Oryctolagus cuniculus: one gene and its partners. The protein of the gene in region 2 binds, or shares a complex with, the protein of the main gene of each other region. Links are inferred from orthologs where the notes say so. Each region holds a gene or a part of one and is shown on either strand. Other genes may lie near its edges.

Region 1 (5,201 bases), on a different chromosome or scaffold from region 2:
CCGGAGGGCACCTCTGCCCCGGCCCCGTCCCCCACGACCTACTCTGCAAATGGGGCGGATGTGCACGGCCTGGGAGTGGTAGCTGGTGTGGAACAAGCGGTCCGCCTTCAGCAGCACGGAGAGGCCTGCCTGGAGGAGGTGAGACGAGGTGAGAGGCAGCACCCTGCGGGGCGAGCCTGGCTTGGAGCAGGTTCGCTCCGATGCCCCTGGCTGCCAGCCTGCCAGGGGGCGTCTGCCGATTCCCTCCCCGCGCTGGTGCCCCAGCCCTGCCCACACTTGCGATGCCCCTGGCTGCCAGCCTGCCGGGGGGCGTCTGCCGATTCCCTCCCCGCGCTGGTGCCCCAGCCCTGCCCACACTTGGCCTCACCTTGGAGCTACAGGGCAGCAGCTTCTTCCATGGGGTGAGGTTCTCGGTGCAGACAACCTCCCGCGGCAGCACGGCATAGCGCAGGAAGTAGTGGTCAGTGTCTGCGGGAAACACAGTCCACAGGTGACAGCGGCCCCACGTGCTCCCCGCCCACCCGACAGTCGCGGCTGGGACTCGGCCTCCGTCCCCCGAGAAGGAGGCAATGCGGGGACAGCACAGGCTCTGGAAAACTTCTGCTGGGGCCTGCAAACCCGGGGCTTGAGGATGGAGCCCAAGCCGGGGAGGGAGGAGACGAGGGGCCCAGAGGCCACGGTGTGGGCAGGCGGTGCAGAGGGCGAGGGCGCGGGGCTGTCTCACCGTTGGCCAGCCCCAGGGGCTTGAAGGAGGCCGTGGGAGTGACCGTGTTGGTGGAGTCGATGAAGTTGAGAGAGGCGCAGAAGATGCCCGAGAGGACGTTACTGAGCTCCTTCCACGACCTGTCCACACTGCAGGAAACACAAACCCACTCACTGGCCCGGGCTGCCCCCCCCGTCCCCCACCAGCCTGCAGCTGGCTGCCAAGCGCACGGTAGCAGGAGGCTGCACGCTCACCCACGAGGCCACATGGAGCGGGACATCACTCAGTCCACGTCCTGGTCTCCCCTACCTATCACCTCCTCCTCACGCTCCTCTGGACATCCCTGCACCCCCCAGGTCTTTGCTAAGACTCTCCCTGCCCCGCTCACTCTTCTCTGCCCACTCCAAGGTGCAGCTCCAGTCCCAGCCCCTCCTCCAGCACGGCCCCCTCCTGGGAGATGGCACCGGGATCCTGTCCTGAGCATCCCCAATTCCCAAATGGGCTGGGAGCACCTTGAGGTCATCTCTCTTCCCCCACACCACCAGGATGGCGCCCACGGCTCAGAGCTGAGCTCAGTTCCCTGAGCCTCCTGTGCGTGCCCAGCTGGACAAAGCAGCCCACTTCCCCTGTGAATACCCTGGGCAGGGAGGCAAGCCCTGGTCCTACGCCTCGGGGTCAGGCCATGGGGGGCGGTCTGCTATCAAAAACCTCACTGAACAAGGAGAAGGCCCCCATTCTAGGACCCCGCAAAAACACCAAATTAATTGTGTTCTTAGAGGAATATCAAAAGGGATTTGCTCCCTAATTAGTAATACAAGTAATAAATTGAATAAGTACTAGAATTCGAAACATTATAGGCAATAAGGGGCAAAGGAGAGACAGGGACAGCAGAGCAGATAGAAAAAGGAAAATTGAAGAGTGCCAGAGCTCAGAGAGACAGCCTCCTCGGAAGGTGAGGGTCACCGGCTGCTCCTCCTCTGACAACGCCTCAGTGCCGGCTGTGGTTTCTGATAATCCACCATTCACAGCTTTTCAATCACTCCCATCTGAAGGACTGGGGACTGAAGCCCCAAAGTTCCACCCAAGTCATAATTACACTTCCACTGGAATGCCTAACATTGACCAACACAGCATTTTAAAGTTTTCCCATGTCCACAGTACATTCCAGGTTCTTGGTCTCCCGAAAACCGAGAGCCTGAGCACGCTGGAGTCCTGGTCCCACCAGCAGCTGGCGTCTCCAGCCTCCAGGCCCTACCACTTATTGCCCCAAAATTGACGACACCTGCCCTACTGATTTCCTGTGGCAGGACTAGGAGGAAGTCAGATGCAGTTCCCATCCCTGGGCCTCTAACAGTGTGTTTACCCCTTACCCATGAGGCCCACACTGGCAACTTCTGCACAGAACAGTTCTTCTCCAGACAGCAGAGCAGTCATTGCGTCCAAGAGCGGTAACCAGCCCTGCCCTCTCCCAACCAAAATAATCCCTCAAACACAGAAGCCTAGCATCCTGCGGGCCAACACATTACCTTTACAAGTATGGGGTTGGGCACAAAGTGCAGTGGTTAAAGCACCACTGGGAATGCCCACATCCCACATCAGAGTGCTGGTTTCAAGTCCAGGCTCTGCTGCCGCCTCCGGCTTCCTGCTAATGCACACGCTGGGAGACACCAGGTGACGGCTTAGGTACCTGGGTCCCTGTCGCTCACCTGGAAGACCGAGACTGAGCTACAAGCTACTGGCTTCAGCCAGGTTCAGCCCCGGCTGTTGTGCGTATTTGAGAGCAAACCAGGAGATGGGGATTTCTATGTCTCTTTACATTTTAAATATTAAAAATAAAATGCATGACTGCCTTTTAGAAAGTTGTCCAGTTTGCCTGTTTCCTGCTGCTTTAATATCCAAACACACGTCAGTGGTTTCACATCTGCTGGTACCTCATCATCTAGAAGCATCAGGGGCAGGAAACCAGAGGATGCCACTCCCTGGTGATACCATTTCTTATTCCCAGCAAGGCTCTAATCCCACGGAGTCGCGCGGACCGGAACTGCTGCCCACCCCCTCCGTGACCTGCAACAGGACCCGAGGTGGCCACTCACTCAGTGACAGTGTCCTGGAACCAGACCCAGAGCTCTGCGCCCGATGGGGCCTGCAGGAAGGGGGACCCCCAGTATCGGGTCCTCCAAAAGCCCTGCGTGAACGACAGGTGCAGCTCGCGGAGAGAATACTTGGCGATCAGCTGCCCCAGGGCTTTGGGGAAGAGCCTGTAATGAGACGCTGGGGAAGAGGGAGCAGATGAGCGACGACCCCTCCGCGTCGGGACCCGCCCCCAAGGCTCGCCGTCACCTCCCACCCCCCAAGCAGGTGCCACAGAGATCTCTTTCTGCGGCCAGATATCTCCTGCACACCTCGTTCCCTCTGCAGCTCCGAATCCCAGCGCGTGCGGAACTGGAAGGTGGCGGCCACGTCCCCGGAAGGCAGCGGGGTGATAACGAGCTCCTCCCGCAGGGTGTCGCGTGGGGGCTCTGCCTGGCTCCAGCCGCCTGGCCCCAGGAGCAGCAGCACCAGCAAAGCGAGCGGCATGGCCGCCGCCATGCCAGCGGCTGCTTCCGCCTCCCAGCAGCTCCCGCCCCCACGAAAGGCCGGCATCCAATAGGAAGGGCGCGTGAGAAGTGACTTCCGGTGTCGTCCCGGAAACCCGAATGCGATTACCAGAGCTGCTCGCTCGTCAGGCCGCCTGATTCCCATCTGGTCTTAGTGGGTTTAAGGGGGCGCTGAGGTAACACCAAAGCGGGTAGTGGCGAGGCAGGGAGCTGGCTTGAGAAGCCACTGCCTTCCAGATACTTGCACCCGCCAGGAGGTGCATGCTAATAGGGAGCGATGCCACTACCCTCGTGTCCACTTTATATTTGAGGAAAGTAACCGAAAAAGGTCATTTTTGCGAGGGCACGGAGCGGGGCTCATGCCTTCCTCGGCTTCCAGTGTCTGCAGGTACCCGGTCCTAACCCGAGCCAGCTCCCCATTGGCTCTTTTGCCATGCAACTTTTCAGACTTGAAAGAATGAGCACCTGATACAGTGAGCATATTTTTGGCCATCACCTAGATTCTACCACTAACAAACATTTTACCATACTCGTGTTTTATCGCAGATCTGCCCATGCATCCGTAAATCCATCTTACAGTTTGCTGCATCTCAATGTAAGCTGTAGACATAATTCAACTTCCTCTGAATAATTCAGCATGGGGCCAGCGCTGTGGCGCAGTGGGCTAATCCTCCCCCTGCAGCACTAGCATCCCCTATGGGCGCCGGTTCGAGTCCCAGCTGCTCCTCTTCCGATCCATCTCTCTGCTGTGGCCTGGGAAAGCAGTGGAGGATGGCCCAGGTGCTTGGGCCCCTGCACCCACATGGGAGACCTGGAAGAAGTCTTGGCTCCTGGCTGCAGCAATTTGGGGAGTGAACCAGTGGAAGGAAGACCTCTCTCTCTGTCTCTGCCTCTCACTGTATGTAACTCTACCTCTCAAATAAATAAAATCTTAAAATAATTCATGCAGGCATTTCATTAACTGGGGTTCCATGTTTACATTTTTTTCTGATGTGAAACTCAAATACAGTGAAATGAGTGAACCTGATGTGCACATTGAATTTTGACAAATGCATATACCCATGTAACATTCCTGAAATCCTAAAAAAGTTGGCTAATGTCTCTTCCTATTTAGCCCTGCCTCCCCTCCACTTTCCAGAGATGACCACTGTTCTATCTTTTTCCTCTAATGTTCTAGAACTAAATCTATAAATGAAATTATCACATGCATGATTTTTGTGTGAGGCTTCTTTCGTGGGAAGACGGTTTTGGAGAATCATTCCTGTTCTTGGATGTAATCGCAGTTTTTTGTTTTTATGTATTCTGCCGATGCACATATGAACTCTTTGAAGTTTTCTTATTAAGAATGATAGTGTTGTCTGTACAAGTTAAGAGTGTCGACACAAATTTATCATATCCTATAGGCATGTGGAATTGCTGGATTAAAGAGGTGGTGTATTTAATTTTTTTTTTTTTTTTTTTTTGACAGGCAGAGTGGACAGTGAGAGAGAGAGAGAGAGATAGAAAGATCTTCCTTTGCTGTTGGTTCACCCTCCATTGGCCGCCGCGGCCGACGCGCTGCGGCCGGCGCACCGCGCTGATCCGATGACAGGAGCCAGGAGCCAGGTGCTTTTCCTGGTCTCCCATGGGGTGCAGGGCCCAAGCACCTGGGCCATCCTCCACTGCACTCCCTGGCCACAGCAGAGGGCTGGCCTGGAAGAGGGGCAACCGGGACAGAATCCGGCGCCCCGACCGGGACTAGAACCCAGTGTGCTGGCGCCGCAAGGCGGAGGATTAGTCTAGTGAGCCGCGGCGCTGGCCGGTGTATTTAATTTTATAAAAAAGTGTCAGGCTGGCACCGTGGCGTAGTAGGTTGAACCTCAGCCTGCAGTGCTGGCATCCTATATGGGCAACAGCTGCTC
Region 2 (5,233 bases):
CACGTTTGTTTATTCCAGGAGGTAGAGGGGTGGCCGTGGAGGGCCCTGCTCTCTGCGCCCGACAGGCTGACCTCACTTCCAGAAGAGCACGTTCCAGAAGAGCAGCCAGCAGGGGTAGAGGCCCAGCGCCAGCAGCGGGAAGAGCAGGGCGCCGTAGCTGTAGTGCTCCAGCACGCCCTGGGCCAGCGCCGCCAGGAAGAGCTGCCAGCCCTCAGCCAGCGACAGCGGCACCTCCTGCAGCTCCCGCCACAGGAACAGGCTGCCCAGCAGAGTGGCTGCCGGGCTCGTCAGCACCAGCAGGGCGGCGTAGAGCGGCCTAGGTGAAGGAGCCACAGGGTGGGTCCCGAGGCGGGGGCAGGGGCAGTGAGGGCAGGAAGCTCTGGGAGAAGGCACAGCGCACATACCGGGGCCCGTGGGGCTCGGCGAGAGCGGCAGCAGGCACCATGGTGGCGGCCAGCAGGAAGCCCAGGGAGAAGTTGGTGAGTGCGATGCAGCCCAGCTGCAGGGCCAGGTAGACCAGAGCCACCAGCTTCAGCGCCATCCAGCCCCGGTCTGGGGCCTGCGTGCTCACCACCCTGCAAGGTGCGGGCTCAGAGGCAGCCCGGCACAGCGCTACGTGCCGAGGGGACCCCGCCCCCACCGCCCGGCCCTCACCGGTGAGTGTTGTGTGGAAGGGCCAGGCCAGCGGCGTAAATCGCCAGCAGCGTCAGCACCACAGCCTCGGCCTCGGCCACTGGGAAGTGCTGGGCAGCCACGTGCTGGCCCAGCACCGGCAGGACGTAGAGGGCCAGCCCCATGGCCTGGGAGATCAGCAGAGGTGCCACGAGCGAGGTCAGCCCCACACCCTGCAGGGCACACGGGCTTCTGGAGATGGGCCCTGGGACCAGGGAGCCCCAAGACCCCTCATCACCAGCCTTCTACATAGGGGTGCGGGGCAGCGGCAGGCTCCGCGCAGGACGCTAGAAGCCCTCCCCGGAAGAGGAGGGGGCGCCATCACCTGCACTGGGGGAGCGGCAAGGCTGGGCCCAGGCACGCCCCGAGCCTCGTCGGGGCCCGCTCCGGCCTCGTGCAACCGCATCCACAGCTCCAGGGCGTGGCCAGTCAAGGACTCTGCCAGGACGCGGTCTGCGGGAGGACCCAGCACCACCCCCCACCACCCCCCAGCAGGATGAGGGATTCTCCCCGGGGCTGAGGGGCTCCAAGCGGAGAGCCCGAGTGGGGCGGGGGAGGATATCTTGAGCCCGAGGACCAGGAGCAGGAAGCCGGCGGCCGGCATGTAGAGGCCGATGGAGACGAAGCGCGAGAGCGCCGGCAGCAGGTAGAAGAAGAAGGACTGGTGCAGCCGCTCCAGGAGGTGGTTGAGCTTTCGGAACATGCCCTCCAGAGCCCTGCCGCACGGGAGGCAGGGTCACAGCTGGCCGGCCCCGGGCCACCCCCTGGCGTGGGAAGAGGGGCCCAGAGCTACTTACTTGCCCACCGCTACCAGGTCGTACTTGTACTGGCGAAAGCTGTTGATGCCCCGCAGCGTGAGGGCCTCCACGCGGTAGCGCAGGAAGAGGCCGTGGGGGCCGTGGGGGCGGCCGGAGGCCTGCCGCAGGACCATGAGCAGCAGCGTCTGCAGGCTCTGCAGTGGCCCATCCAGCGATGTCCAGTCCTGGGGCTGCAGCTTCGGGGGAACAGGTGCAGGATCAGCGCGCCCTCCTCCCAGCAGGCCTTGTGCGCCCCAGGCGGGGCCTCACCTTGCCCTGCAGCGTGCACAGCAGCCCCCCTTTCTGGCAGAAGGTCTGGAAGAGGTTGAGCAGGTCAAGGTTCGGCAGCTGCCCGTTGAGTCCCTCCACGGTCACGTCGAGGCTCGTGATGACGTCGCTGCTCAGCTCCAGGGCCACGGCCGCCTGGATGGCCCCCGCCCGGCCCTGCAGGGGCGACGACTGGATGCCTGCAGGGACAGTGAGCGATCGCCAGCGAGGGGCTGGTGGAGGCAGCGACCAGGGCAGGGCAGGGCACCTACCAGTGACATTGACGTCGTGGTAGGCTTCGAGCCAGGCCTCCGTGCCCAGAAGGTCATGGTCGGTCACCAGGAAGATGATATCTTTTGCCCAGTAAATCTGCCCTGCACGTGAGAGGCAGGGTCAGCAGCAGGGCTGGGGCACCGACCAAGCCGTCCCAGGCCAGCAGCGACCCCCACAGCCAGTCTCACCACGGAAGTGGGCAGCAAGTGCCAGCAGCAGCCCCACAGCCTGGCTGTTGGTGGAGTCGGAGCTACAGGGCACGGTGAGCACCAGGGACTCGGTGCTGGCGGCTCGGGGCCCTCGCAGGATGCCATACACGTTGGTACCGGACACCAGCTGCACACAGTGGCAGGTGGGGAGCGTCAGCCCGGGAACCCCGGTACAGTGCAGGGCCCCTCCCTCTGCCCGGCCACGCCGTGCTCCCCAGGGGCTCCCCTGGCCTCGGGACCCCCCAACGCGACTCCCGCCCTATGCCACCCCAAGATGCTTTTCGGCCCCAGCCACACCCCCTCCCCCAATACATAGCGCTCGTGAGTCTCATCTGGGAAAGGCAGTTTCCGGGAGAAACTCTGCGTGTAGACCTCCAGCCCTACTGACCGCATGGTCCGCTCCAGCCAGGCCACCGGCAGGGCCCTGGAGACACAGAGCCTCTGTGAGCACGGCGCCCGGCCTCGGCCTCGGCCCTCCCAGACCCCCGCTCCGCCGCTCACCCCGACTTCCTGCGGTGGGCGGCGAAGTCGCGCGCGAAGTTCCGGGCGCGGTCCCCCCCCGCGAACTGCTCCTCCACCATGGTGGAGCCCATGGCGTTCTCGGACATGTACGTGCGCTGGGTCAGCGGCGGGAAAGCCAGCGCCAGGAACCAGGCGATGCCGGCCACGTAGCTCAGCACGCTGCGACGGGGCAGAGGGGCCGCCTCAGCGTCCGCGGGGCCGCGCGGCCCGGGCCCCCGCCCCGCGGCCCCGCGCTTACCACAGCGGCGCGTTCAGGCGCAGCACGAGGCGGGCGAGCGCGCGCCGGCGGACCGGGTCCGACAGGAGGCCCATGGCTGGGCGGCGCGGGCCCACGACCCCTCTCCCGCCACCAGTACGGGCACCGACGCGGCGCGCGGCTCCTGTCAGACCCGGGGCTTCGCGCTCGCTCGCACTTCCGGTCCCAGAGGGCCTCGCGCCGCCGCGCATGCCCAGACCAGAAGGCGGGGAGGCCCCTGCGCATGCCCAGGCCAGAAGGGTCGCAGGAGGCCCACTGCGCATGCTCTGAGCGGCGACTCGCCGGAAGGCCGCGGGGCTCGGGCTCAGCTGACTGGGGGTGGGCCCAGGCAAGGGAGGCAGCTTCCAGTTCGGCCAGACCGTGCACGAACGGGCCAGACCGGTCAGGGGCGGCGAGGAAGCATCAGCTGGACGGCTGGCAGGAGACGGAGGTGAAGCGCAGGGCGGCAGCGAGCAGCCGACGGGGATGAAGGGCTTGGAGAGGGAGGCCGGGACGGGGAATCCTCGCCGTGGGTGCCCTGCACCGAGGTCGCCGGTAGGGAGCGCGCTGCCCCTGTCCAGGCCAGGGGGTCCCCGAGGTGGTCCGGGAGACGCAGCTCCTGGTTCCCTGCTGCAGGGCTCGGGCGGGTGACGGGGGCGCAGTGGTGGGCGGGGAGGCAGGGGCCGAGCAGGGGAGAATAATGCAGGCAAGTGCACGAGGTTGTGGTACTTTTAGAGCTCAAGGTAAGGGACAGAACGGCCCAGGGTCTCCTGGGGGAAGGGGCTGCTCAGTGCAGCCCACAGCGCCCACAGCCGCCTCCCGCCGCCTGCGCGCACCGCACCGGCCCTCCAGGTGCGACTCCGGAGCAGGTCACGCGTGGGAGAGGTCCGCACGGGCCCGGCGGCCGCTGTTCAGTCCCCCAGCAGGATGGAGGCCTCGCGCACGTGCTGCCGCACGACGCGGTCCAGCAGGGTGTGCACGCCGCGCGCAGCCTGCGCAGCCGCCTCCAGCACCTGCTCCAGGTGGTCTTCGTGCAGGCGAGCGTCCATCTCCAGCAGCGCGATCTGGCCGGAGGCCGGCAGCAGGGCCAGAGCCAGCTGGGGGCTGCCCGACGCCTCCTCCACGTGGCTGAGGTCCGTCAGCGCTGTGCCGTCCACAAAGCCGGCCGAGCAGGCGCACACGAAGTCCCGCATGGGTATCCCGGCGTCCAGCACTGCCAGCGTGGCCGCGTTCACACAGGCCGCGTAGGTGCCCCCGTCCGCCTGCAGCACCTGCAGGGCCCCCGAGGGGCGTCAGGCGGCCGCCCCACGCCCCGCAGCCCCTCCCTCCGCGTGCGGGGCTGCGGCCAGCTCACCTGCACGTAGATGTCGATCTGGGAGCGTGGGTGCAGCTGGGTGAGGATGGCCGCCTCGAAGGTCTGGCGCAGCTGCAGGCCCAGCTCACAGGACTTGCGGTCCCCGTGCGGCCGGCGCTTGCGCTCGGCTGTGCTGAACGTCGCCGAGCTGTACTGGCAGTTCACCAGGGCCCGGTCGGGCAGCGCGCGCGAGCGGGAGCCCCGGATCTGGAAGAGGGGCGCCTCGTGAGCCAGGCCCAGGCCCCCGGCCCCCGCCCTAGTCCGCAGCGGCTGCTCGCCCAGCGCCGCCAGTCGCCTCGGGCGCGCGTCCCTAACCCACTCCCCGGGGCTACGCGGGTTCTGTGGGAGCTGCACCTCAACCCCCGCCTCCCCACTGCGCGGGGAGTGAAACCCCAAACCCTGGGAAAGCCTCACGGCGGACGGGTGCCCGGCTCTCCCCACCCCAGTCCGCCCACTGCTCGCGCCGACAGGCAGCGCGTGTGGACTGCCGCGGGCCGGGCCGTCGAGGTAAGGGAGCGAGAGCGCCCGGCACGCGAAGCGCCGCACGGCGGCCGGTGGGCGTTCGCTCCGAGGGCGCGCCGCCGCCGCCGCCCGCTCACTCGCCTCGTGCGGCCCGTACACCACCGCCAGCGCCTTGGTGTTGCCCTGCTCGATGTAGGCCGAGCCGTCGGCCTGCGCGAACACCCCCATCCGCGCCTGGATCTTGCGCAGCTCCCCGGCGCGCCGTCCGTCCACCCGGTAGCCCTGGTCCGACAAGAGCTCCAGGCCCGCCATGCTCGCGGCCGCCCGCTCCGCGCTCGGCCGGCCGGAGAACTACACCTCCCATCAGCCCCGGCACTTCCGGCGGCCAGGCCGCACTTCCGGTCCCTGAGGCCCGCGGCTCCGCGCGGTGTGGCGTCACTTC
Region 3 (3,392 bases), on a different chromosome or scaffold from region 2:
TCAGCTGGCTCTCTGGTCTTGCCACACCCTGGGCCTCACTGGCCACTCCAATCCTAGGCCTGCTTACCTCAGATGCCACGTCGTCCTTGATGACAATGTTGCTGATCTTGCCCAGGAGCTGGGCCAGAGACGTGAGGGTGGTAGTGGCTGTGGCCAGGTTCTCCACCGATCGAGCCCAGAGCAGCCGGTCTAGCTCCCATGTCATCAGCCCTTCACTCTTGGGCCCTGAAAGCAGGCATTTTGGAGGCACCTGGGGCTGAGCAATCCCAAAAAGCAGTCTGGAGAAACAGGGAGAGAAGATCAAAGTGGCTGAGACCAGAAGGTGGGAGGCTGTGACTAGGATTCCTGTAATACCTGCTCTAAGCCAATGATTTTCAGTCGTATCCAGAGCCACAGGGGTTGTGGCAAGTGTCTCAGGGTCTCGGAAGGTGAGCAGCAACGCCAAGCAATCCAGAGCCCCCAGTCCCTGCTTCAACCAGAATGTTGCATTTCCACTGTTTCTTTATTAGATTTCCAAAATCTTGTGGGAAAAAAAAAGTTCCATGGTGCAGTGGATAAAGCCAACACCTGTGATGCTGGCATCCCATATGGATGCCAGTTCAAGTCCTAGCTGCTCCATTTCTGATCCAGCTCTCTGCTAATGCCCCTAAGAAGGCAATGGAAGATGGCCCAAGTACTTGGACCCAATACCCATGTGGGAGACCCAGATGGAGCTTGGGCTCATGGCTTCAGCCTGACCCAGCCCTAGCCACTGTGGCCTTTCAAATAGACAAAATAAATCTGGAAAAAAAAAAAAAGAAGAAAAAGAAAGAAAAACAAAGGACAAAGGTTCTATAATAAAAGTATTTCTAACACCAACTCCGTTGAATTCCCTCACTCTTTCTACTCTCTTTGGACAAATGGGGCCAGTGGGACTTGGTGTTAAGAGATGATGCAAGCCCACCTTTGACATGGCACATGTGCTGTGCTTCTGTAAGCTGTACCCACGACAGACATTACTAATCACTCGGAACACTCTCCTGGTGAGCCCAGACACAACTTCAGAACACAGGACTTCAGACTGCCACTCTCAGTGGATCAGTTCGCGTAAGAATTGCCAGCTATCTTCTTAAGCACCCCTAATCATACCCCAGGGATCTGAAGTACATGAACTTATTTTTCTTAAAACAGGTTTTGTCACCTGCTAATCCTCCTCAAGAGGAGGACACAGAGCTCCTTGGAAACCTTTCTCAGTTTCCCTGGGGCTCTAGACACAGCCAAGACATTCCTGCCAAGTGAGATTTCTCTGCTCTCGGCAGCCCCCTTCTCGGCAGCCCAGCAGACGATCTCAGGGGGCAGCTGGCCAACTTCAGGTCATCAGGGAGACAGAGGACACCCCAAGTAGATAGCCAGGACCTCACCGCAACTGCGCCAGGAACACCTCCATCACTCGTACCATGTCCACCTCGACTCTCACTGGTAGCCTGGAGCCATTGTAGGCTTTGGGGTCAACATTGTATACCTGAAAGCAGAAGGAGAAGGAGCCTGAGGTTGCCACACCCCTACAGGTGCACAGCTCTCCCCTAGGCAATTCAGAGGCCATGAAGGAAAAGGAAGACATATTCCCTGCTCATTAGAACCAGAAACCCAGGACCGGCACTGTGGCGTAGTGGGTAAAGCCACCACCTGCAGTGCCAGCATCCCATTTGGGCGCTGGTTCGGGTCTTGGCTGCTCTACTTCTGATCCAGCTCTCTGCTATGGCCTGGGAAGGCAGTAGAAGATGGCCCAAATCCTTGGGCTCCTGCACCTGCATGAAGACCCAGAGGAAGCTCCTGGCTCCTGATTTCGAATCAGCGCAGCTGTGGCCATTGTGGCCACTTGGGGAGTAAACCAGTGGAATGAAGGCCTTTCTCTCTCTGCCTCTCTTTCTCTCTCTGTATAACTCTGACTTTCAAATAAATAAATAAATCTTTAAAAACAAACAAACTAGAAACCCAATGAAACAGCTGACATTTTTGGGGAATACATAATATAAAAGGAAAAATAAATTATCTCAATGACCCCAGGAAAGTCCTGTAAAAGAAAATTTTAAATCTCATTTTACAGTTCTCACCCATGAGAAACTCCCAGTCTCACAAGGGGACAAGGTTCCCAATCTTACAAGACCCCCAAAGATAGAGCCAATATCTAAGCTGGTCACAGGATGGCCTTGGTAAGTGCAAGATGGTTACAGGGCAGAAATAAGCAGCAGCAGGGCTGGCAGAGGAGGCCGAAGGCATGAGGACCCCAGAAGAAAAACAGAAGAAGCAGTTTCAGGGCATGTCTGTCTGTCTGTCCCTGAAGCCTGGGCTCTGGGGTCTTCAGAGTGTGACTTTTACCATAATGCCACCCCAGCGGGGACTGTGGAAGGCGTTGGTGGCCACTGGAGCCCCATCCTTGTCCTGAATGTACAGGGGCGAGTGGGCAAGCTCAGGCACGTAGAGCAGAAAGTTGAGCACAGGGTACAGGGAGGCAGCGCTGGATCCTGTGGCAGAGAGAGAAGGAGAGTTAGAACACCAAGATCTCAGCTCCAGAACAGCCTCTACCTTGCTGGTCACTCATTCTGGGACCGAGTTTTCCCCGCCGATGACCACCAGGATATCCTCCAGTCCAGGATTTCTGTGGCACAGACCTCCAAATGTTCTCCTGAGACATGCCACACAGGTGGAGCATAGTCCTTAGCCTCAAGACATCCCCTGGAATGTCCCCCCATCTAAAGGGACTTCTTTGACTGTCTTAAGATAGCTGTCTTGGCCACTGTCCCACTGGACCTACATTACTATAGCTTTTATGCACTAGGATCTATCTGATGTCATGTCAGTTCCCTGCTTAATACCCTTCGGTGGCTAGTCGCTCATGTCATATTAGAGTTCAAACTCCTTAGCCCAGTCCTTTATGATCTGGCACCCAGCTGCCCTGCCAGCCGCACTCACACACATTTCAGTCAGGGTAAACCTTCCTGGGCTCCCTGCATGGCTACGTTCTCTTCTCTTCTAGATCTAAGCTCATAGTTCCCTTTGCCTAACTGCCCTTCTGTCTCCGGTACTGTCAGTGTCTGCTGAATGAATGAACCGAGGGGGAGGCATTTCCCTAATGCCTCATGCGCCACTCCCTGCTTAGCCCCAGGTTTACTCCAGCCTGCCTCTGGTGCCTGCAATTCTAGTTGGAGATACACTCAACTTTGGTTGGCTTGGATTTACCGTTCTTGCTCACACCTACTCTTCCTAAGCTCCACTTCACACATGAAAACTATTATCATGGCTTCAAGGTTCCTCCACCATAGACGTCTGCTGTCTCCCATGTGTATACCCAGATCTCTCCTAGATGAGTATTTCAGGGAGGGAGAGCCAGCCTAGCAATTTATTTGTACAAC
Region 4 (4,513 bases), on a different chromosome or scaffold from region 2:
GGCCTAGTCCAGCCCTGACCACTGGCAGCAATTTAAGGAGTGGACCAGAGGATAGGAGCTCTGTCTCTCTAGACCTCTCAAGTAAATAAAGTATTTTTTTTAAGTACACTTTACAAAGGTTTTTTAAGGTAAAAGAAAACCAAAAACATTTATTTGAAAGGCAGAGCTTGAGAGAGGTGGGGGGCAGGAAGAAAGAATATGAATCTTCCATCTACTGGCTCACTTATTAAATGGCTGCAACAGCCAGGGCTGGGCTAGGCTGAAGCCAGATGCCAGGAACTACAACTGGTTCTCCCGCACGGGAGGCAGGCCCAAGCACTTGGGCCGTCCTCCACTGCCTTCCCAGGCACATTAGCAGGGAGCTGCACTGGAAGCAGAGGAGCTGGGACTTGAACCAGTGCTCCAATATGGGAAACACCATCATAAGTGGTTGTGGCTCCCACAAAGACATTTTTAAGAAGAGACAAGAAAATGCTAAGAGTTCATCTGGTTTTTCTGTGTAACTCAGCTAACACACTTGATACACCTGCCTTTGGTTTCCACGCCCAATGCCAATCCCTCTTTTTCCAAAATTCCATTTATGAGACCCCTCCCTCAGAGAGGTAGCCACAGGGGAGGAGGCTCTTATCCACCAAGTTGCGTGGATACTTCAGAGTCACTGTAATTTTATTTCATGACTCAAACTTGAGACTCAAGACAACAGGCCACAGACTATTTCAGGGAACTTGCCAAGAGTTGGCCCAGGTCCCTCACATGCCAGTTATCCCTGTGACATAAGGAAAAGTAAGGCGATTCCAGCAAGACAGTAGAGCCAGGATAAACATTTAAATTCCTTCAGATATAAAGTTGTTTTTTTTCTTTTTCTTTTTTTTTTTTTTGACAGGCAGAGTGGACAGTGAGAGAGACAGAGAGAAAGGTCTTCCTTTGCCGTTGGTTCACCCTCCACTGGCCGCCGCGGCTAGTGCGCTGCGGCCGGCGCACTGCGCTGATCCGATGGCAGGAACCAGGTACTTCTCCTCGTCTCCCATGGGGTGCAGGGCCCAGGCACTTGGGCCATCCTCCACTGCACTCCCGGGCCACAGCAGAGAGCTGGCCTGGAAGAGGGGCAACCGGGACAGAATCTGGCACCCTGACAGGGACTAGAACCCGGTGTGCCGGCGCCGCAAGGCGGAGGATTAGCCTAGTGAGCCGCGGCGCCGGCCCATGAAGTGAATCCTGAAGATGACTGCCTGCATGGACGCAGGTAGGACACTGCACACGCACCGTCAGTAACTGCCACCCAGGCGACAGTGGCTCCCAACATCCACGTCTCTCTTTATTGTTCACACACCAAGACGAATGGTTGGACTGGACATTAATCCTCCAGAAACGTCCACGCAGGGAACACCAGCCCCACCACTCTCTGACAAAGCCTGAACTCGCTTCTACATTCCCAGCAGCTGACTTTGGAGGCAAGGAGTTCCTCGGGGACAGTCACTGCCTCCTGGCCTTTCCAGTGAGCCGCTCCCCATCCTGTGCATCACACTGGGAGGGGCCTGGCTGTGCCCACGGCCCGGGAAACGGCACATGGTACAACTGATTTTCCCAAGGCCTCGAAGACAGGACGGAGCCTGACCTGGAAGAGGGCAGCACAGTGAATGAGAGAACTGCAGAGGAGGGTGGATGATGCCACGGGGGGTTTACTAGATCCTCTGCCCAGAACCTCGGAGAAAACTTGCTAAAACACAAATTCCTGACCTCATTTTCCAAACTGAATTGACATTCTGGCAGTGGGATCAGAGAATCTTCATTTTTAAAAAAACAATCAGAGCCATGCAGTTGTAACAATCACAACTGTGAGTGTAAAGGGTTCTAAACAAATAACAAGGACTCCGTGTGTTTAACAAGCTCCCCTGTGGATCGGAGGCTCAGGTTTCCCAGGTCAGAGGAAGGGCCACACTCTGTGCTGGCCACTCCTTGGTCTGTGACCCTCACGGCCTCCTCTCCACTACTCCCAGCCCACCACTGATACTCGACCCTCCTAACAGACCAGAGCACTTCTCGGCTTCCTGCTTTGCGCCTAATATCTCGGGTCTGGAAGCTTCTGTTCCTCCTGGCCCTGCTCTGCTGTCTCACTCCACGTACTCTCCAAGGCTACTATGCACCCCAGGCACCATCACAGACAGAGCCTCAGAAATCAAACCGTAATTGATTTCGGCTCCTGGCTCCTTCAATGACCTGGGGCAAGACAGCCTCTGTCTCCATTTATAAAAGAGGGAGGTGGGACTCTGCATGGTGCTCAGCACACGCTTGCCAGATTCAGCTTCTGTGTTCTTAACTCCCTCTCCTCTCTACCAGACTATGAGCTCGGTAGACTGTAACCTTGAGCGTGGTCTGGTCTATAATCCTTGGCAGGGATTAGAGACGGTGGGGGTGGGAGGGTAGGACGGTCCCTCTTCATGCAAAGCCCTAGGACACAGAACAAGGGCCTGGTGTGGATACCCAAGGCTGCAAAATGAATCCCTAACCCCATGCAGCCCTCAGCTCTTACCTGCCCAACATTGAAGGTCAGTGTGATGGCATAAAAGAAGTTTGAGTTGGCACTTCCTGCATAGATCCACAGGTGCCACAGGACAGGGAAGAGCAGGGAGCAGACGACAATGATGCAGGTGAGGACAAAGATGTTTCGCAGGACTGCAAAGACAGACGGTCACAGTTAGCCCAGTGCTCTCTGGAGCATCCTTTCCTTGCTGAGATGGCCCTGCAGTTAAAAGGGGCCCGAGGAAAGCTGTGTGCACCTCAGAGGCAGAGCTCCCCAGAGGCACCACAGGGCCAGGAGACAAATCTCAGACCCCCGAGTCAGTGGCTCCCCATGCTCACAGCTGGTGGGAACGCCTGGATTTGGATTCTTTCCTCTTACTGTGGGCTGGGTTGGCCCAAGATCTGCTATGGTTGGCAATAACCCGAGTGCCTCTGGTCACGGCAAACAGGGTACTTCAGGAGGGTACTGCCTCCCTCCCCAAAATCTGAGAGTGTCCAAGAGCAACTCTTCCCTTTTCCCCAAGCAGGGCGATCTGACCATGTTGGCTCCTGAGTGGGAAGTGCAGCACGAATCACGGAGGTGAGTCCCATAGTGAGTCCCATGGTGCTACAGTCCCGTCCTTAATGAGTGTTTCAGGTCCCCGTCTTGTTCTTCAAATGTCCCTCTCTTCCCTAGATGATGATTTGAACATCTTTTTGACACTCTCCCCTCTGACACCACTGTTGTGTTCTCAGAGGTGGTAGTGCTTCCTGAGGCCCAGGAGCAGCCCAGACAGCAGGTGGAGTTTGGATGGGCAGGCAGCATGCTGGCAGGGCGCGGACTTGGCCTCAGAGAGACTGTGGTGAGAAGTCCTGCTCGTCATTTACTAGCACTCTCTCTCTCTGTAACTGACTTTCAAATAAAGTAATTAAAAATCTAATAAATTAATTAAAAGTTTGTAGAAAATGGTGCAAAATGTTTGGGGCCATTTGGGGAGCACTTCTACCCGTAGGTTCACTCCCCAAATGGCCCCAACAACCGGGACTGAGGTAAGCTGGAGCCACAGCTGGAACTCTATCCGGGTCTCCCACATGGGTGGCAGGGAAACAAGCACTTGGGCATCTTCTGCTGCTTTCCCAGGCCATTAGCTGGGAGCTGGCTTGGAAGTGCAGCCGATGGGTATTCATGTACCAGTACTCATGTTGGATGCCAGCATGGCAGGCAGCAGCTTTACCCACTATGCCACAATGCCGGCCCCATGAGAAGTATTTTTTTTTTTTTTAAAGATTTTATTTGAGAGGTGGAGTTAAAGTGAGAGGGAGAGACAGAGAGAAAGGTCTTCCTTCCGTTGGTTCACTCCCCAGATGGCTGTTACGGCCAGAGCTGCGCTGATCCAAATCCAGTATCCAGGTGCTTCTTCCTGGTCTCCCATGCTACTGCAGGGGCCCAAGCACTTGGGCCATCTTCTACTGCTTTCCCAGGCCATAGCAGAGAGATGGATTGGAAGACGGGCAGCTGCGACTAGAACTGGTGCCCATATAGGATGCCGGCACCGCAGGCAGAGGATTAACCTACTGTGCCACGGCACCGGCACCAAGAAGTATTGTTGTTATTACTATTATTGCTATTATTATTATTCTAAAGATTCATTTATTTGAAAGGCAGAGTTACAGAGAGGCAGAGGCAGGGAGAGAGAGAGAGAAAGAGAAGTCTTCTATCTGCTGGTCCACTCTCCAGATGGCTGTAACAGCTGCAACAAGCCAGAAGCCTGGAACTTCTTCCAGGTCTCCCACGCAGGTGCCGGGGCCCTACTTCCACTGCTTTCTCAGGCCAGAGCAGAGAGCTGGATCAGAAGTAGAGCAGCCAGGACTCAAACCGGTGTCCATATCGGATGCCAGCACTGCAGGAAGCGACTTTACCTGCTACACCACAGCACCAGCCCCTATTTTTGTACTAAACAATGTTACAAGGAGAACAATTTGTTTGCTACTCCTTCACTCTATCATCGTTATT

What was found.
Region 1: the proteins of GPAA1 (region 2) and PIGT are in contact, whole or in part, in a cryo-EM structure (PDB 7W72), measured with the Homo sapiens proteins. The link is inferred for Oryctolagus cuniculus from reciprocal best matches to the Homo sapiens genes GPAA1 and PIGT. Residues at the interface, in NP_003792.1 of Homo sapiens: Arg97, Ser98, Val99, Gly100, Glu102, Tyr104, Arg134, Ala135, Pro136, Arg137, Ala138, Ala139, Ser140, Thr141, Glu142, Arg171, Gly172, Gln173, Ile174, Tyr199, His200, Asp201, Val202, Leu212, Gln213, Gly214, Arg215, Ala218, Arg311, Tyr312; in NP_057021.2 of Homo sapiens: Gln91, Gly92, Phe93, Arg95, Arg97, Tyr98, Ser108, Phe211, His212, Thr213, Ser214, Asp247, Phe249, Ile250, Arg340, Gln355, Tyr357, Val358, Ser359, Gly360, Tyr361, Gly362, Leu363, Leu371, Tyr373, Lys441, Asp459, Pro460, Asn461, His462.
Region 3: GPAA1 (region 2) and PIGS share a complex: the UniProt entries of both Homo sapiens proteins name them as parts of the GPI-anchor transamidase complex. The link is inferred for Oryctolagus cuniculus from reciprocal best matches to the Homo sapiens genes GPAA1 and PIGS.
Region 4: the proteins of GPAA1 (region 2) and PIGU are in contact, whole or in part, in a cryo-EM structure (PDB 8IMX), measured with the Homo sapiens proteins. The link is inferred for Oryctolagus cuniculus from reciprocal best matches to the Homo sapiens genes GPAA1 and PIGU. Residues at the interface, in NP_003792.1 of Homo sapiens: Gln245, Leu310, Arg311, Arg313, Phe358, Leu359, Ile371, Ala389, Leu390, Trp393, His397, Leu500, Ile504, Leu508, Cys512, Leu515, Thr516; in NP_536724.1 of Homo sapiens: Tyr349, Ile355, Phe356, Cys360, Ile363, Val364, Leu367, Leu368, Val371, Leu372, Leu375, Ile377, Tyr378, Ala379, Gly380, Ser381, Phe386.

The regions. Positions count from the first base shown.
Region 1 is NC_091442.1:13,842,490-13,847,690, forward strand, and holds the start of PIGT (GPI transamidase component PIG-T), read right to left. Parts: upstream 3,330-5,201; 5' UTR 3,293-3,329; coding exon 3,106-3,292; intron 2,975-3,105; coding exon 2,797-2,974; intron 853-2,796; coding exon 725-852; intron 469-724; coding exon 368-468; intron 130-367; coding exon 43-129; intron 1-42. UniProt on the Homo sapiens protein: Component of the glycosylphosphatidylinositol-anchor (GPI-anchor) transamidase (GPI-T) complex that catalyzes the formation of the linkage between a proprotein and a GPI-anchor and participates in GPI anchored protein biosynthesis.
Region 2 is NC_091437.1:167,910,410-167,915,642, reverse strand, and holds the start of GPAA1 (glycosylphosphatidylinositol anchor attachment 1 protein), read right to left. Parts: upstream 3,666-5,233; 5' UTR 3,260-3,665; coding exon 2,979-3,259; intron 2,900-2,978; coding exon 2,720-2,899; intron 2,643-2,719; coding exon 2,531-2,642; intron 2,346-2,530; coding exon 2,198-2,345; intron 2,111-2,197; coding exon 2,009-2,110; intron 1,937-2,008; coding exon 1,740-1,936; intron 1,667-1,739; coding exon 1,470-1,666; intron 1,389-1,469; coding exon 1,235-1,388; intron 1,094-1,234; coding exon 998-1,093; intron 846-997; coding exon 655-845; intron 576-654; coding exon 405-575; intron 317-404; coding exon 73-316; 3' UTR 1-72. Other genes in the region: EXOSC4 (exosome complex component RRP41), read right to left, coding at 3,887-4,246, 4,330-4,536, 4,933-5,103. UniProt on the Homo sapiens protein: Component of the glycosylphosphatidylinositol-anchor (GPI-anchor) transamidase (GPI-T) complex that catalyzes the formation of the linkage between a proprotein and a GPI-anchor and participates in GPI anchored protein biosynthesis. Binds GPI-anchor.
Region 3 is NC_091448.1:44,067,383-44,070,774, forward strand, and holds part of PIGS (GPI transamidase component PIG-S), read right to left. Parts: intron 2,505-3,392; coding exon 2,359-2,504; intron 1,502-2,358; coding exon 1,401-1,501; intron 279-1,400; coding exon 68-278; intron 1-67. UniProt on the Homo sapiens protein: Component of the glycosylphosphatidylinositol-anchor (GPI-anchor) transamidase (GPI-T) complex that catalyzes the formation of the linkage between a proprotein and a GPI-anchor and participates in GPI anchored protein biosynthesis.
Region 4 is NC_091442.1:23,522,037-23,526,549, reverse strand, and holds the end of PIGU (phosphatidylinositol glycan anchor biosynthesis class U protein), read right to left. Parts: intron 2,674-4,513; coding exon 2,339-2,673; 3' UTR 1,315-2,338; downstream 1-1,314. UniProt on the Homo sapiens protein: Component of the glycosylphosphatidylinositol-anchor (GPI-anchor) transamidase (GPI-T) complex that catalyzes the formation of the linkage between a proprotein and a GPI-anchor and participates in GPI anchored protein biosynthesis.